Linked DNA regions of Macaca mulatta. The protein of the gene in region 1 purifies or fractionates together with the protein of each later gene. This does not show direct contact. Links are inferred from orthologs where the notes say so. Each region holds a gene or a part of one and is shown in the gene's direction. Other genes may lie near its edges.

What was found.
Region 2: the proteins of JAZF1 (region 1) and NR2C2 purify together in Homo sapiens (affinity purification with mass spectrometry; 4 studies listed by BioGRID and IntAct, with this or other methods). This does not show direct contact. The link is inferred for Macaca mulatta from reciprocal best matches to the Homo sapiens genes JAZF1 and NR2C2.

Annotation. Positions count from the first base shown.
Region 1 is NC_133408.1:100,161,269-100,169,875, forward strand, and holds the start of JAZF1 (juxtaposed with another zinc finger protein 1), read left to right. Parts: upstream 1-4,376; 5' UTR 4,377-4,571; coding exon 4,572-4,686; exon of another isoform or gene 4,687-5,221; intron 5,222-8,607. UniProt on the Homo sapiens protein: Acts as a transcriptional corepressor of orphan nuclear receptor NR2C2. Inhibits expression of the gluconeogenesis enzyme PCK2 through inhibition of NR2C2 activity.
Region 2 is NC_133407.1:153,846,388-153,854,250, forward strand, and holds part of NR2C2 (nuclear receptor subfamily 2 group C member 2), read left to right. Parts: intron 1-852; coding exon 853-958; intron 959-4,565; coding exon 4,566-4,740; 3' UTR 4,741-7,863. UniProt on the Homo sapiens protein: Orphan nuclear receptor that can act as a repressor or activator of transcription.

The DNA of each region.
Region 1 (8,607 bases):
AAATCCTCAAGACTGTGCATTGCTGTGTGAGAATCAGTGATGCCTAAAAACACATCTTCGGGCAAAAACGGTTGTGCAGTCTTTTACAAGCATTAGTGGCCTTAGTGCCTCCAATACAGTCAGCAGCAACTGAAGTTATCATCTGAGTGAGCCAAAGCTGGAAAGAAGGGAAATAATAGATACTAGAGCAGCCAAGAGGGTAGTACACGGAGTCCAACCAAGCCACCCCTAGCAGACCCTTAGAATAGATTGAGGAGGACCTTGCAAAGCACCTAGTGCTCTCTCATGTGAGGACAGACTAGGCTTGTCTCATTCAAATTGTATCCCTCATATCTTGCATGGTGGAACAGCACTGCAAGGCTGCACAGATCCCAGGGTCACTGTTCATGCAGTTGCCTATATAAATAGAGCTTTCTGGAGTTGTGTAACAGGAGCCTTGCATAGATGTTCAATCAAGATAGGTTAAAGGCAAAAATGAAATAGTAATTGCTTAGCTGCTTTTGTTAACATTATTCTAAATCTCAGGTTGGGCTGGCCTGAGCAGCAGTGGCTCCCATCAGATTTGGGTTTGGAGTTATCATCTGGATAGCAGTGTAGCACATAACGTAGGGGAATGCATCCAAGATGCTCAATTAGAACTGCAGTGATTGGTGGTGTGTTTTACTATTTTAGTTCTGGAAAAGTCCTAAAAGGAACTGGAAATAAATGCCATAACTACGTATACAGTCAGTAGGCAGGAGGAGCCAGGTGGAGAGCTAGGGGCTAACACTCATGAGGTCGCTGGTGGCAACTAACGAGAATACCCCCATTACTCATTCTAAGGCTAGCTCTTAATCCTAGGCAAAATGAGACTGGGGGACAAAATGAAAATTAATCAGCAGAGAGCAGATAAAGCTGATTCATTTCTGAGCTGGAATAAAATCAATACAGAGAACTTGGTTGCATAAATATTAAACAATAAAACCTGGAATAGACATCATCCTCCTTAGAAGAAGATGGAGCCTAAAGAAGGCATGCCATTGAGCCCAAGGTTGCTGTTGGTGGAAGTGGCAGCCTTAGTATTCAAGAGCCGGGGAACATCAGACATTGTAAGTGTCCACAGACTTGCATGAGCTGAAGAAGACCGAGATTCATGATCTGCTCATTCGACACAGTGGTGACAACAGAAGAAATATCTAGTAAACCTGAAAAGCACCTCAAGAGGGACCTGGAAAACAATCTAAAAAGCCAGAGAAAGCTAGAGTTGAAGGCAGTATAGAGTTAGATTCAAGATAGAATCTAATGTTCATATAGATCCTCTTGCATCGTTAACAGATGTCCACACAGGACACAGGAAGTGCACGGTTTTGATTATCAGGGTATGCCAAAATAAACCAATTCCTGCATGTGGAGGACAGACAGCTGTATGAAGCAGGATCCTCAGTGTCTTCAGTTGGCTCCATTAGACCAGTGGATTCACACCTTCCGGCAGCTGCCCCATCTCGAGGGCACTGGACATGCTGGATTTGGAGAGACTGTTATGGGATCTCAAACCATTTGTAATGCTAAGTACCACACTGTGGGGCCACTGCACATCCATACTTTGTGCCTACACATTGGGAGGCACTAGGCTCTGGGGAGAGACACATGTTTTCAAGGAAGGCTCTTAAACCCAGAGAATGCTTCTTGTCTACAGCCACTGTCATATCATTCTGACTTCTCAGTTCCCTCACTGTCCCTCTCCTTTCAAATATTTTTACTTCCCAAATCAGACAGATAAATGTTTTTTGCAAGTACAGAGGTATGTCAGTCATCACCTTCTCTCTCAGATGCAATAAGTTGAATTGTTTGTTTTATATATTTTTGTAGCTTAGATGTTGACTTTATCTAAAGGAGTATCCTTGAAACAAACACTTTAAAAATGTAAGTACAGAAAGGTAAGCATGCTATTAGCAATTTTTTAAAAACTTTGCATGTGGTTACTATCTATATATTTGTCCTTCTATTGTTTATCAATGCCTTCTAAATGCACCACGAGTACAGAGAAAAAACTGTGTGCACCTGGGAGAACTTGCTTGATGCCCCTGGCGTCAGTTTACCACATTTCCAAAACCAGTGGTTCTGACAGCCAGAGCATCTTCCAGATCTAAGAGATCATAATCATGTATCTTATACAAAGACCAGAAATGCCTAGAGTATACAGATTTTTAAAAACTAGTATAAGCAGAATGACACATAAACAAAGCTTCAGTCATATATGAAGAAGTAGTAGGGTGGATTATTTTCAGGCAAAATGAACTGATTCCTTATAAAATAGTAATAATTATCCAAGGTAGAGAAAATAATTTTGTCTTAAAAATCAAAATCTTGATTTACTTCGGAAGTTATTTTAGCTCACTTCATTTAAAAAAAAAATCTATTTTTTCAATTTGGTCTAGCAAGGTTTTATTTTAGGAATAGTGAAACTGACAGGAGGTAGTAGAAAGCCATGCATTAGTGAAACCCAGGCCCCTTACTTCCTTCATCTTTCACCTGCACATTTCCGGCACTTTCCATCTTGGAACTTTGTTGCCTGAACCACCTCTCCACACTCTTGGGAGTTAATAACTCCATATAGACAATTTTTCCTCCGGAGGACAGAATTGCTACTTCTTCAAAGCTATTGGGGCTCCCAGATGCTGCACAGTGGGGGTGCCTCACACTCATCTCTAAGAGTGGCTGTTTTGGCACCATTTTTGGCTGAAGTTTTTGTATTGCATTTCCATGTCATTCGGTGTGATGTGTGCCTGCCAGATATTCTGCCTGCTCTCAGTTGAAGGCCTTCCCAGATTGGGCAGCTGAATGTACTGCACAGCTGCCAAAATTCTAATTCAAGATCTAGAATTCTAACTCCTGCTCTTTAGACCCTTGTCTGGCCTTGGCCTCAGTCCCCTGCCAACTGGGTCCCTGGCTCATTATCAGGCCCACCAGGGCCCTGCCCCCTCCCTCATTGGGACCACGAAACCATTCTTGGCACCAAACTGAACTTCAAGACACAGCTGCCCCAGCCCCACCCAAGCCAAATCTCATCTCAGCAAAAGTTTGTCACCTTGTGAGCTGTAAGACAGAAGAGATGAGAAGAGAAAATGATACCCGTGATGGTCAGATCATAAAACTTCCTGTAGCAACAGACATATTACATGTACCTTTACTCTAAGAACTTGCATGAAAAGCAAACAATCCCATTATTAGAAATAACACTAGATAGGGATGCATAGAGTTTATGGAGGGAGGAATACTATTTCTCCATTTATCTGCACCAGAGGGTAAGTGAAATTTGCCGTAAGGAAAAATACTAAATTCAGTATGCACATATTAATATTAATAAAAAATGTACTGTTGGGTCATAAACTGCTGATAATGTGTAGTATTTCTTAGGCACCTGAAAACTGCTATGGCAAATAGACACTTTACAGCAGAAATATGACTGCAACTGGAGGAGGGGGTGGGGACCAGAAAGTAATTGATAATCAGCAAAATGCTGGTTTTCAGGGAAGCTACTAAATTCAACTTAAGTGGTTACCTGGTCAACATTATGGTTTAAATGCTCACAGGACGAAATCGCTTCCTTTTTAAATAAGAGTCACCATTTCCCTCGCCGTTGTTTCCATTCCTTCTAGCCTTAACCAATGCACCGTCCTTTCTGCCGTGGCTGAAACGAGGTTGGGTTAATTACCACACCTGAGATGGTGGAGTGGGTGCAGTGGGGTGCTGTAATTTCGGGTGATTAAATTATTTTAGCTTTTGTTTTCCTAGAAGGAGCAGGGAGTATAAAAAACGTGGTACATATGTAAAACACAGGCAAATGCACTTGACAACCAAGCACTCTATTTTGAAATTTAAATAAAGCTAAGATTTTCTTCTGGCCTAGAGGGAAGCTTCATTAAAATCAATTAGTACAAACCTCCGGAGAATGCAGACTTTTTCTAAAGAAGGTTTAAAGAAGAAGGTGCACACAATTACCTTTCCCGGGTCCCCTGTGAATGTGTCACACCTAGACAGGTGGCTGAGTACAAAAAAATGTCCCCGAGAGGGGCCAGGGTAACTCCCTGAGTTCTCCTCGCAGGAAGGTAGGTGTAATTAATCCATGTGGGTGCATTAAGAACGTCATATACATAACCAAGGAGGCTCCAAACAGATGGCACGGATCGCAAGCTGTAAAGGGCAGGCCTAGCGAGATAAAGTTGGTGGCAGGGCTCGCAGGTGAGGCCTGGGTCCGGGCGCTGAGGTTGGGGCCGCACAGCTGTAGCCGCGCGCCCTGGTCCCTCCTCCCAGCTGCGGCGGCCTCCCCCCCGCCCCCGCCCCCGCCCTCCCCGCGCCGCTCCCGACGCCGCCGCCGCAGCCGCCGCCTCCCCTCTGCCTCCCGGTGGCTCCTTGCTCTCCTTCCATCTCTCTCGCCCCCTCTCCCTCCGTCCCGTCCTCGCCGCTCCCCTCACCCCGCCTCTCTCCCCCTCCCCCAGCCCCTCCTCTCCTCACCCCACCCGGCCTCCCTCCCTCCCTCGCCCGCCCGGCGCTCGCAGAGCCGACACCAGGGGGGCTCTCGATGTAGCACCATGACAGGCATCGCCGCCGCCTCCTTCTTCTCCAATACCTGCCGATTCGGGGGCTGCGGACTCCACTTCCCCACCCTGGCCGACCTCATCGAGCACATCGAGGACAACCACATCGGTAAATGGCCCGGGGGTGGGCGGAGGTGCCAGGCGCGCGGAAACTCCTGCCTGGGCGGGGAGCCCCGGAATGGCCAGGGGTGGCCCGCAGGGAGGGAGGCAGCGGGCCGGGGAGGGCGCGTGCGAGCCCCGAGGTGGGGGTGGCGGGATGCGGGGACGCGAGGTGCCGGGGGGGCGGGGAGCGGTCTGGGGTGGGGTGGGGGAGGGGGCGGGCGCCCCGAGGTGCCGCGGGCGGGCGGGCTGGCGGCTGGGGGACTCAGGGGCGTGCACGCGGGCTGCGAAGTGGTGGGAGCGGGGAGCGCCGCGGCGGGCCGGCGGGGGGTGCGGCGGCGGGGCCGAGCGCCGGCTCGCGGGGCGCGGGGCGGAGGGCGCGGCGGGCGGCGGGCGCCGGGCGCTGGGCAGGGGCGCGGAGTTAGTTGGCCCGGGTGGTCGGAGCAGCCCGAGGCGCTGAGGGCAGCGGGGGGCGGGCGCTGCACGCAGCCGGGCGCTTCCGCCCCGGCTCGAGCTGTCAGGGCTCGGCGGCGGCTGCAGCCGCTGGGAGGTGGAGCGGGGGGGCGGGGGTGGCTCCACCGCGGCAGCCATTCCGCTTCCTCCTCCCGCCGCCGCCGCCGCCGCCACTGCGTCCTGTCAGCGCCGGTTGCTAGGTGTGGTGCATCGGGAGGGGGCCGGGGCCGGCGGCCGCGGGCGGGGGCCCGGGCGCTTGCCCTCTCTCTGGGAGGCGGCCGAGCGACCCGGGCGGGGCCGGGGACGCGGGCCCGGGGGCTCTGGGTGCCCTCCCGTGCCCCGGCCTGGCGCGGACGCCCGGGCGCTGCGGGCTGAGGTCTTGGGTGCGCCCGCGGGCCGCGCCCAGCGCCCCGGGGTCGACGCGCCCTGGAGGCCCTTGCGGCAGCGTCCGCTGGAGAGCCACCCCCCGGGCCCATGGCCGGGGATTTAAATGCACCCCGGCTCTGCGATTTGCCTTTCTAATGGTGCTAGGCCCGAGGTGCGCTGGCTGCGCCCTGGGACCGGCGGCGGCCTGCGCAGTGCCCCGGGCCCGGGGGACGCCGGGGAGAGGGCGCCCCGCGGGGTGGCTACTTTCCCTTCACGCCTGGACCCCTGGACCTTTCAACAAATCCTCTGATTTGCAGAAGTCCTTGCACACATTTTCACACTTCTATTCGGAACCGCTGCTAAGGGAGGTGGGCCGGGTGCATCTGGCTCAGGCGGTCCAACCACCTGCGGAAGGTGTGGTCGACGCCAGCGAATTGTCCTGCGTGGGCTGGAAGGTGAAGGGTCCGAGTGGTGTCCCAATGGGGCTGTCTAATCCAGAGAAACTGTAAATTGCCCCCAGGAAGTCCAAATGAATGCCATGGATTCAGCCATGTGGATGCAGCTCACGTTTCTACAAAGTTGAGAGAATAAATCACGACTGCTGTGTATTTATGCAGGAATAAAATGAGGCAGAACCCTATGCTCCTTTGCTTAGTATAGTGCTGTCTCTGCACACAGTGGGTGCTTAATAAGTGTTGAATGCCTGTTTAGAATGTGATTTGATGGGCCATCCGGAATAGGAGATAATCATGGGAAACGTCTACAAAATGTCTTTCAGAAGAAAATTCTGTTGAGTAATTGTCCACGTTTTGAAACTTTTCAAGTTTTCAGGTGTCCTTGTAATAGCTTCTTCCATTTCCTCTGCTAAAGGTGTGACAGAAGAGCTGGGCAAGTTTTGGTAGTCTTAAAAGCAGTTTAATGGAGCAACAAATTTGCTGATTCATATCGTGATTGAATAGTCATTACTGAAAGTGCTTTAAAGTATTAAATCAGATTTTTCATGATGGCTAGTTTAAAATAAAGCGAAAACACCAGTACTGTGAAGTTCTGGTAGAAATGTTACTAGTTTAAGTTCTTCCCCTTACTCCCAATAATAAGTAAAAAATAAGAAATATAAATAATGCTATAAATTCATATGTATGATATAAGTAATATAAATAAATATCTCTTGACTTAAGGAAGGCTGTCATTGCATATCCCATTCATTCTTGCTAACAGTTATTTCAGAATAAACTATAATTTATGTAAGCTGAGTAATAATTTTACCCCATTGCCTGCCTACTTAGACAAGCTGGTTAAAAGACAGTATAAATTCTATTTATTAAGATGTGTTAAAGACAGTTATCCTTCTTGAGGAGTTTGTATGAGATGGTCTAAAACTTGGTGAGTCATGAGGTTTTTTTAAGTGTAGAAATTGTCCTAATATTTTGCACACATTTTTTAAAGAAGGTTAAGAGTTCGATACATTTTCTAAAACTCAACTTTGAAGTAATGCTATCTCATTCCCAGAAGGCTAGTGTTGTCCTTTTAATAGTGAAAATATGAAAAAATTAAGTTTACAGCAATAGCAGTGACCTAGGCGAACTGTGTCGCAGGGCTAACACAGTTGAAAATAGTTTGAACCAGCAAACTTTATGAAAAGCAAATGTTAAAATGAATGAACACTTGCAATTCCCAGGATGAAGAGGCTCAAACTATTATACACCTCTGCTGGGGAGAGGCCCTTTACTATCAAAGGCAGCCCTATATGCAGAAAGAAGTAAGAATTGATCTTAAGAAAGAATAAAAATATCCCGATTAGTAGATAGTGTCATAATACACTTTTGATGAAGAGACATGGGTGAAAATATAAAGCATTTAGTGAAAGTTCTAGACTGGTATTGTTATGTGATATTTATCGTTTGTAATTCAATCTATAAGAGTTTGGAGACTGTTATTTTTAATGATTGACTTACTGATTTCATGTCTGTTGGTGAGTGGTTACCTTAAAAAGATTCAGGAAAAAAATAAGAGATGTGTTATTTTGCTTTTAATTTGTTAAGCAGTCTTGTTATTTAGCAACCATGAGTATTAGAGATATGCTTAGTCGAGCGTTCCATTTTGGGGGCCTATCTGGGTTATTACCTTTAGCCGCTAGTAAAAACCCTTAAACAGCGATAAAATGAACATTTATGGGAATGTGGTGTGTTTCTTGCTTGGCAGATTTTTCAAGGCCTGTATTTTTCATTATCAAAGTATTATGTTTAGTTTGGATTAATTAAGCACATTAAGTTGAGAATAACTCTCTGTTATCTTATACGTGTATGCTTAACTTTTGTTTTTAACTATTTTCCTCTCCCCATAATGAACAAGGATTTGGGGCTTTGGCACCAAGGGAAGTGTGATTTTCACCATCCACTGTTTTAGCTCTTTTCCCTCCTGGAAGGGTGCTGTACTGGTATTCCTGTTTTCTTTCTTGCATTTCACTGCTGGTTCAGTACTGGAGTACCTGTCTCAGTGTACACACTGAATATCCTAGCTAAAACTGTCCCCCATTCCCACTTAAATTTAAATTGCCTAGAAATCCCATAGCCCTGCAACTGTGAAGTGCTTCTCCATCAATTTTGTTATCAATTCATTCATAGGTCTGGGTCTGTTACATGGAGGTGGGAAAAGCAGGTCCGGATTTGCTTGCTTCTTATTTTGAGTAGGTATTTGAGTTTGTAGAAACACTCTTGGTATGAACATCCTAGATAGATGAAGTTAAACTGGTAACCGGGAATCTTAGAAACACCAGGAGCACTAAATTTAGCACTGAAGGTCATGCCCCAGGCCCATGAAATGCCTGCTGCAATCCTGCATCCCAGTGCTGTGAAATCGTATGACTTTTCGTCTCAGAAACACAACTGTTGAATCATTCTTATTTATTTGGTGCATTTTTAGAAGTACCTCTGCATTTTGAATTTATTTATGTAATAATATATTGAGTCCCTGCTTTATGCCAGGCAAAGTTATGAGCACTTGATATTTTTTGGTTTACAAAATGAAGATACCACTCTAGGAAGTTTATATTCTAGGGTAGGGGGCCGGACAATAAACAATTGAAGTATGTGATATACAGTATGTTGGGAGG
Region 2 (7,863 bases), on another chromosome or scaffold:
ATAGGTGTTTTGCTAGATAAATACATAAACGTTTTTAAATTCTTGCCTTTATAGCCCCAAAGAAATATGCTGCAGTGCCTGATGATGTCACACACTGAATAGATTTAATCTGTGTCCTAATGAAACCATTGGCCAAACAAGATTACACCATATAAAACAAAAGTGTGCTACCACCCGATGTCCTTTCTTTTTATTTATTTATTTATTTTGGCCCTTTGCCAGTTTCAAAGCTTTGTTAGCACATATAATCCAGTACACATTGAAGCTCCACCTGTTTGCCCACAGACTGTGTATAGCAGTAGCAGCAGCTGCTGCAGAGCATGCTAAAAGGTATGTTCACAGGAGATGAAGAGGCAGCCTCACTCCTCTCAAGGCCTCTAGAAAAGTTACTTAGGCTCATCGTTCACCTCACAGTAGGGGTTGGACACAGCTTCACCTTCTTCTCTTCTTTCCCAGCCCTCCACTCACAAATAACAAAATAGCTAGTAAAATTGGGACAAATTTTATAATTAAATATTTAGAAAGTAAACGACAATTTCTAATTTTATGCGATAGTTTTTAAAACTGTATTTTCTAAGGTAGTAGGAAGCCAGATGTCCAGAACCATCCATGTGGGGCTGCTCAGACTGGCATCCACTCAGGGTCCCCAACCCCCTCCCAGGAACTTTAGGCCTGGGCAGAAAACAGAGGAAAAGCCAGCGTTCTAATAATACCCAAATTAGATCAGTCTTTGAGTTCAATTTGTTATACTTAAGAAGTTTGCAGACGTTTGACTAAAAATACTAAGAAGTCTGCAAATGAGACTTTTCAAATACAAAGGGAATTGGAGGGGGGTAACTTTTCTGTTTTCAGATCATCCAGGTTTGACCAGCACAAGCCAGATTGAAAAATTCCAAGAAAAGGCACAGATGGAGTTGCAGGACTATGTTCAGAAAACCTACTCGGAAGACACCTACCGGTGAGGCATTCAGGCATGCACTCTTGCTTGGGGCCGCAAGGAATGTGGCTGGGTTTGTAGTTTCTAATATAAATTATGTTAACCTTTCCATTTTTAGCAGCCTGATAGAGCCTCCAGTGGATCACACTCTAATTCTTGAGTTTTCTTTGTTTTTTCCTAGCTCCCAAGAGCTAGAGATAATTCTTGAATGCTAGAGGTGGTGTAGAGTGTAGACGGTGCCAGCAGGAGGGCCAAGACTGTGGCTGATTCCAGTGTTGCTGTGTGACTGTGAGTGAGGCCTCAGATTGCTACTCTTTAATTGGAGGAGTTGGAGCAGATGCTACGTGGCCTGTTCTAGGGCTAACACTGTACATGAGGCTTGAGTTCTCATGGAGATTCCCTTGTCTAGAATAGTTTGACAGATCTGCTTCTCTGGTCAGCATCCATTGAAGAGGCAGTGCTAGAGTACTTGACAGAAAAGTTCTTGTTGACAGAAATCAAATCTGACCCCATAAAGGAGTGGATGAGTTACATAAAGTCATTTTGCCCTCAGATAAACTGATGGAAAAAAGTTTATTTGGGTGAAAATTAGTGGTAGTATTTGTAATTAATGTGCAGCAAAAATATATGTATAAAAATTAGGGCCAGGTGTGATGGCTCACGCCTGTAATCCCAGCACTTTGGGAGGCCAAGGCGGGTGGATCACGAGGTCAGGAGTTCAAGACCAGCCTGGCCAAGATGGTGAAACCCCATCTCTACTAAAAATACAAAAAAAAAAAATTAGCCGGGCACCGTGGCAGGCGCCTGTAATCCCAGCTACTGGGGAGGCTGAGGCAGGAGAATCGCTTGAACCTGGCGGGGTGGGCAGAGGTTGCAGTGAACTGAGATCATGCCACTGCACTCCAGCCTGAGCGACAGAGTGAGACTCCGTCTCAAAAAAAAAAAAAAAAGCCTTTCTCATGCCGTTTTAGGCAGGAAAATTGTTCAGATCTGCCAAAGGTCAGAATGCATTGGCAGGCTTTCCAGCCAAAGATGGAAGAGTGCTTTCCTATGACAACTTCTGACCCACCAGAAGCTACATGAATTTCTGAGACCCTTTCAAGTAAAGTATTTCCTATTTCCCTCCCCACCATGTCCCCCTAAAATAAACACTGGAACAAAATTGACAGCCTGGGAAGACACACGGGCCCACCTTCCCCAGACGTGTGTCCTCTGCACAGACCTCAGTCTCCAGGAGCCCCATGGAACAGAGATGCCCCTGGGGGCTACCCCTTCTGGCCCAGTGCTTCTCAAAAGAAATGATTTTGCCCCCCAGCAGAGTAACCAGCTCTTAGTCTTTCAGCGCTAAAACCAGGACAGTCCCAGCCATTTCTCTGGTGTGACTGGGGGTATCTTATGGCTGACTGGTCCTGCTGGTAGACAAGAGCCTGCTTCTCCTTTTGGCATACTTCTATTGCCCAGATGTGGCTTTTACAAAAGCAAGATCCATTTTCTACTGGAATCATCGAAGACTTCATCATGAATCTAGAATAACTTCAGCCTCAATACATAGAGAATGGGACTGTCAGGGAATGCACCCACACCCAGAATTTATACATCTAGCCAAGTGTGCAGTCAGGTTGTCCTCCTAGGAGGCCACAGGCCTGCTCACCCACAGTTCCCATGGCCAAAAGATGGCTGGAAATGGCCCTCTGGGGCTGCTGACAGAGCCACAGCACACTCTAGAATCACTTTAATATCAGCAATTCTGTTGCCTTGGAAAGTAGATATAATGTGTCTGAAAACATGAGTCACTCCTGTCCAGTCAGGGACCCAGGGTTGGTTAGGGTGATGACAGGTTACTTGGAGCCCAAAATGATAAGGGAGGCTTTCTTATAGGGCTCAGAAATTCACTCAGAGAGAGTTCTGAAAGAAAAGGCCCTAGAGTGTTTTACATCCTATTTGCATATTCATTTTTTTCTTTATCTTGGTATTTACTATCTGGAATATCCATGTTTGACTCTTCCCCATCCTTGTGCCTTTTCTCATATTGATTATTCCTCCTGAAATACCTCCCATCCCTCCCCATTCTTTGTATCTCTGCTGATAGAAATCTTAGCCAGCCCCTAAGGCCCAGCTGAAATGGCAGGTCTCTTACACCTTTGTGTGCCCTGCAAGATTGAAGCACAGTGACTCATTGTGGCTGAGTGAATGGATGCTGATGCTGGAATGCTACCTGCGTAGTATGAATACATTTTCCCATTTTAAAAATAAGTAGTATTCACTGTAGAAAAACTTAGAATGTTCTAGAAAGGGAAAAGAAAACTTTTTAAAAAGCACTATTAAAAAACTTTTTTTAAAAAAGCATGCAGGGCATGGTGACTCACACCTATAATTTCCACACTTTGGGAGGCTGAGGCAGCAAGATTGTTTGAGCCCAGGACTTTGAAACCACCCTGGGCTACATAGTGAGACCCCATCTCTACGAGAAAAAAATGAAAAATTAGCCAAATGTAGTAGTGTGCACCTGTAGTCCCAGCTACTCAGGAGTCTGAGGTGGGAGGATGACTTGAGCCTGGGAGGTTGAGGTTGCAGTGAACTGTGATCACGTCACTCCACTGCAGCCTGGATGACAGAGCAAGACGCTGTCTCAAAATAAAAAACAAAAACAAACAAAAAAAGCACTATCCAGAGATACCTACTATTAACATTTTGCGTATTCACTTCCAGAAATTTTTTATGTATTATAATTGGGATCATAAAATACCAAAGGTTTTGTAACCTTTTTTCATGTAATATACAATAACAATACATACTCTTCTTCATTTTCTGTGGTTCCTATTTCCCTGCTAATGAAACGGTAGGGTGTTTCCAGTTTGGGCTGTCACACATGACTCTGCAGTAGCATCCTGGCACATGCTTCACTTGTTCGCCTGGGATGCAGTCCTGGCTGGGAAATGGCCTGGTCACATGGGACACTTGAGATACACAGTGTTCAGTGGCCCTCCAGGGCAGTGTCGTGGTGCACCCTCCACCCCAAGTTTCTTCAAAATGAAAGCTATTTTACTGCTTTATTTATAATGCTAAAGGGACACTGAAAATTAGGGCAGTACAAAAAATAAGAAAAAAATCACCTCAAATCCCAATACCTAGAGCCCAACTGTTAGCATTGTGGTGGACATTTTCCCAGTACTTTATGTACACATCTATACTTGCTGTTTTATAATCTCCTTTAAATTTTTATTGAGCAACATGTCATGGATGTCTTTCCTGATCAGTAAATACAGATTTGTATTATCGTTTTTTAAATGAGTCTTTAGCAGTTCATCATATGAAGACTCCTAGTTTATTTTAACCTGTCCTCTGTTGATGAATTTCCAGGTTTTCTCTTTTCGGTGGGGGTGAGGAGAGTTGGAATAAACAAGAGTGAAGGGAACATATCTGTACATACATTTTGTACTCGTTTGGTTTTTTTCTCATGATAAATTTCTATTAGAGGAACTGTTGAAATCAGAAAAAAGAGGTGGGTGGATGGTGGATCCATTTGGTTTGATTCTGTGCAATACAGACAGGGCCCCAGGAGCCTGTGCTGAGCTGTGGTTGAAGGGCATCAAACAGTCTCCTTTTCTAATGACGCTCCCTTTTACAGATTGGCCCGGATCCTCGTTCGCCTGCCGGCACTCAGGCTGATGAGCTCCAACATAACAGAAGAACTTTTTTTTACTGGCCTCATTGGCAATGTTTCGATAGACAGCATAATCCCCTACATCCTCAAGATGGAGACAGCAGAGTATAATGGCCAGATCACCGGAGCCAGTCTATAGTACACACCACACATCTGCCAAGGAGCAACAGAATCCTACCGGGACCGTTCACATACAAAGAAAAGAAAAGTAGTGGTATTTTGGTATGTGCAAATATTTCCATATGTTAGCCGTTTCCTGTCTGGTTTCTTCTTATCTGTTAATCCCAGACAATGGCAATGAAAAGACTAGTAGGATCCTTTCCTGACATAAGAAATGTTTTAATGCCTTTTGATGAAGCAGCAGATTTTGGAGCAATCTTTTAACTCAATTTGTATTTAGAAATTCTCAAAGGGCAAAAAAAAAAAAAAAAAAAAGGTTTTATAACGTCAGAGACTAGTATTAAAGAAAACTGAAAGAACCTAAGAGAATAGTATGTGTGTATATATATATAAAAAATGTCCTTGGAATTATAGATACTAATTACCAGGGTAATAATATTAGCACTTTCTAAGCACTTATCAATGTGTAATGTTAGCAACATCTTGCCTGTGGGCAGGGCAAATGGAAAACTGTATATGTCTTTTGCCGAAATGCTAATGGTTTCTGTGAAAACTCACTAGGGTACAGGAGACAATCATTTATGTTTAAGAAAAGAAGGCATCATTCCTAATTGTGTGCACATGTTGTGGAGTTGAGCTGAATTCTGTGAATGGAAACGTGGCTCATTTGCATCATGCAGTAAGTGGGCGTGTGGTAGCACAGTCGGTGGTGACCCAGTCCAGAAGCTTCTAGCCATAGAGCAGACACTTGTCAGGTTCCCTGACTACTTGGTCCTGGTCTCTGATGGGCATCTGCAGACTCCTCTAGAACCTGGGGTTCTCCTCTGATGACTGGTTATCTGAATTGGATTGCAACTAGTCAGACATTAACTGCCAAATGAGATGTACAATTCCTCCAGCAAGTGAAAACATCCCCAAGTCACATCCACTGCTCATGGCAGATGGAGCCTTGTGACCAGAAAGCGCAAGGTGGGCATTTTGAGCCCTTGACAGTACTTCCAATACAATTGGGGGTGCTTGCGTGTTTGTCCAGATGGAGAGTGTGGCCTTGGAGTGTGAGGGTTACCTTCCCAGGGCTTTCCACTCCAAATGCCCCCTTGAAAAGGACTTGTGTTTCTGCAGCTCCATCAGAACTGTGGGGCTGGCCAGAGTGGTCAGGGCTTGGTAAAGCTGGATGGAAGGTTTCAGGACAGTTTCTTCCTGTTGACCTTAAATACCAGAGATTTTAAAAATGTGTGTAGACTTGGCATCTCTGCTGGCAAGTCTGTTAATGTTCCCAGCACTCTGTGCACTTTGGTTCCCCCAGGTGTGTGCCTGCCGACTACCCTGGAGCATTTTAAATGCAGACTGCTTGCTCCTTAAAAACAACCCTTAATTTCCACGGTGATAGTCTTTCTCCTCATAAATTATAGCAACCAGAGTTTATAGCAAGAACAGAATACGTGCTTAAAAGGCAGTTATGTCTAACTGCAAACACCCATAAATTCCCATGGATGTGAATGTATAGCAAGCTATTTCTGTTTGAGAAAAGTGGCATGTGGAAGACCAGGTCAATTGCCTTGTCTTTTCTTTTTAAATAGTCCAGATTAAGAAAATACACCCTGTTGGGTTAAATTTGCCCCTCTTGATTTGTTAATCAGATGATATCCAAAAAGATCCCTGGACACTCCCCTGCCTCACAGGGGCTCTGATCTGGCTGAGGCTGGTGCCACACATGTGCTCCACAGGGGTGCAGTCTAGCCAGCTACAGATGCCCCTGTGGAGCTACACTGGACAGAATGGAAGCTGCCGCAGGCTCAAGGCAGAACAGGATGCTTGATCCTGAAGGGTTAGCAGCACTTTATGCAAGTCATTGTTAGTAGGGTAAGTGAGAACAGTGTCTCCAACTTCTAAATTCTTATTTGGATTTAATTATATCATTTTATAATTCTTGCCGTGGCAACAAATTTTGGGGAGTAGTGGGGGTGGCCATTATAAAATGATGGGAAGGATTTAATTTTGCCAGCTTAAAGTAATTTTTTACTTTTCTAACCCTGATGTTTTCAGTTTCAAAATTAAGACAAAAAACCAGCTGAGACAATGGAATTAGGGCAGGTTTGTTTCATTTCTTGTTTGTGAAGGATTTTAGTAGCAGGCATTCTGAAGCTCAGCCGTGCCTCTAACACAGATTGTTGCCTGCCTTCCGTCATTTTGATTCTTGAGAGTGACCATGAGGGCCATGTTGCAGTTCCCTGGGAATACAAGCATAATAGCTTTCAGATCCCAGTTCTTGGTGTTGGTGAAAAGGTCTCCACCAGCCCCTCCTCTCATTCCCAGGTCATTCAGTGGCAGCCAGTAGGCCTCTTAGACTCACGTTGGATGAGGAAGTGTTGGGCTCTGCTGAAACAGCCTTGCAGAAAACATGATTTTGCTTGGAAAGGTGCTGATTCTAACCTGGGCCTGCTCTTTCAGTCCCTTTGCTGGTGATGGCTGATTCCAGGGACTGTTTTGGCTTTGAACACCTCTTGGTTGGTTTCTGAGATCCTCTTGGCTTTACTTTGAAGTGGCCTTTTCTTTAAGGATCATGTCCGCATAACCTGAATTCTTGTTGCTTGAACTCATTTCAAGCCTTTGACTGCAGGTCCATTTCATCTCCCATCAGGTTGGTTAAGGAAAGTCAGCCCAAAGTCAAGAATTACTTAAAGAGATGCAAACCAAATATTTGGGCTCCAGCTTTCACAGGGCTTATAGCCCTTGTTAGCAGTTTGTGAAACTTTGGGTTTCATGAAGTGAGACCTGTCCTCTGGCTGCTGAACTCCACGGAGCCATGTCATGCTCCCTCTTCTACTGGCCTGGCCGCTCCTCCCTCAGTGAGGAGAGGTAGCTGGCTCAGAGAGGTGGGACAGACACATGCTGTCACCTCTTAGTTAAGTGGACTCTTTTCCAGAAGTATCTTATATAATGTTGGGTTAAGACAGATAGATGTTGAAAATGGTGGAGATCATTACACATTAGCGTAAAACAGGACAGGAAGAGATTTTTTGAAAGACCAAATTAGTTGAGCAAGTAATACTTTTCAAGTTACTCCTGGAAGGTGTTTTTAAGGAAGTATGTTACCTACCATACTCTCCTAATTTGACATTTCTATGTGTGTCCTGAGGGG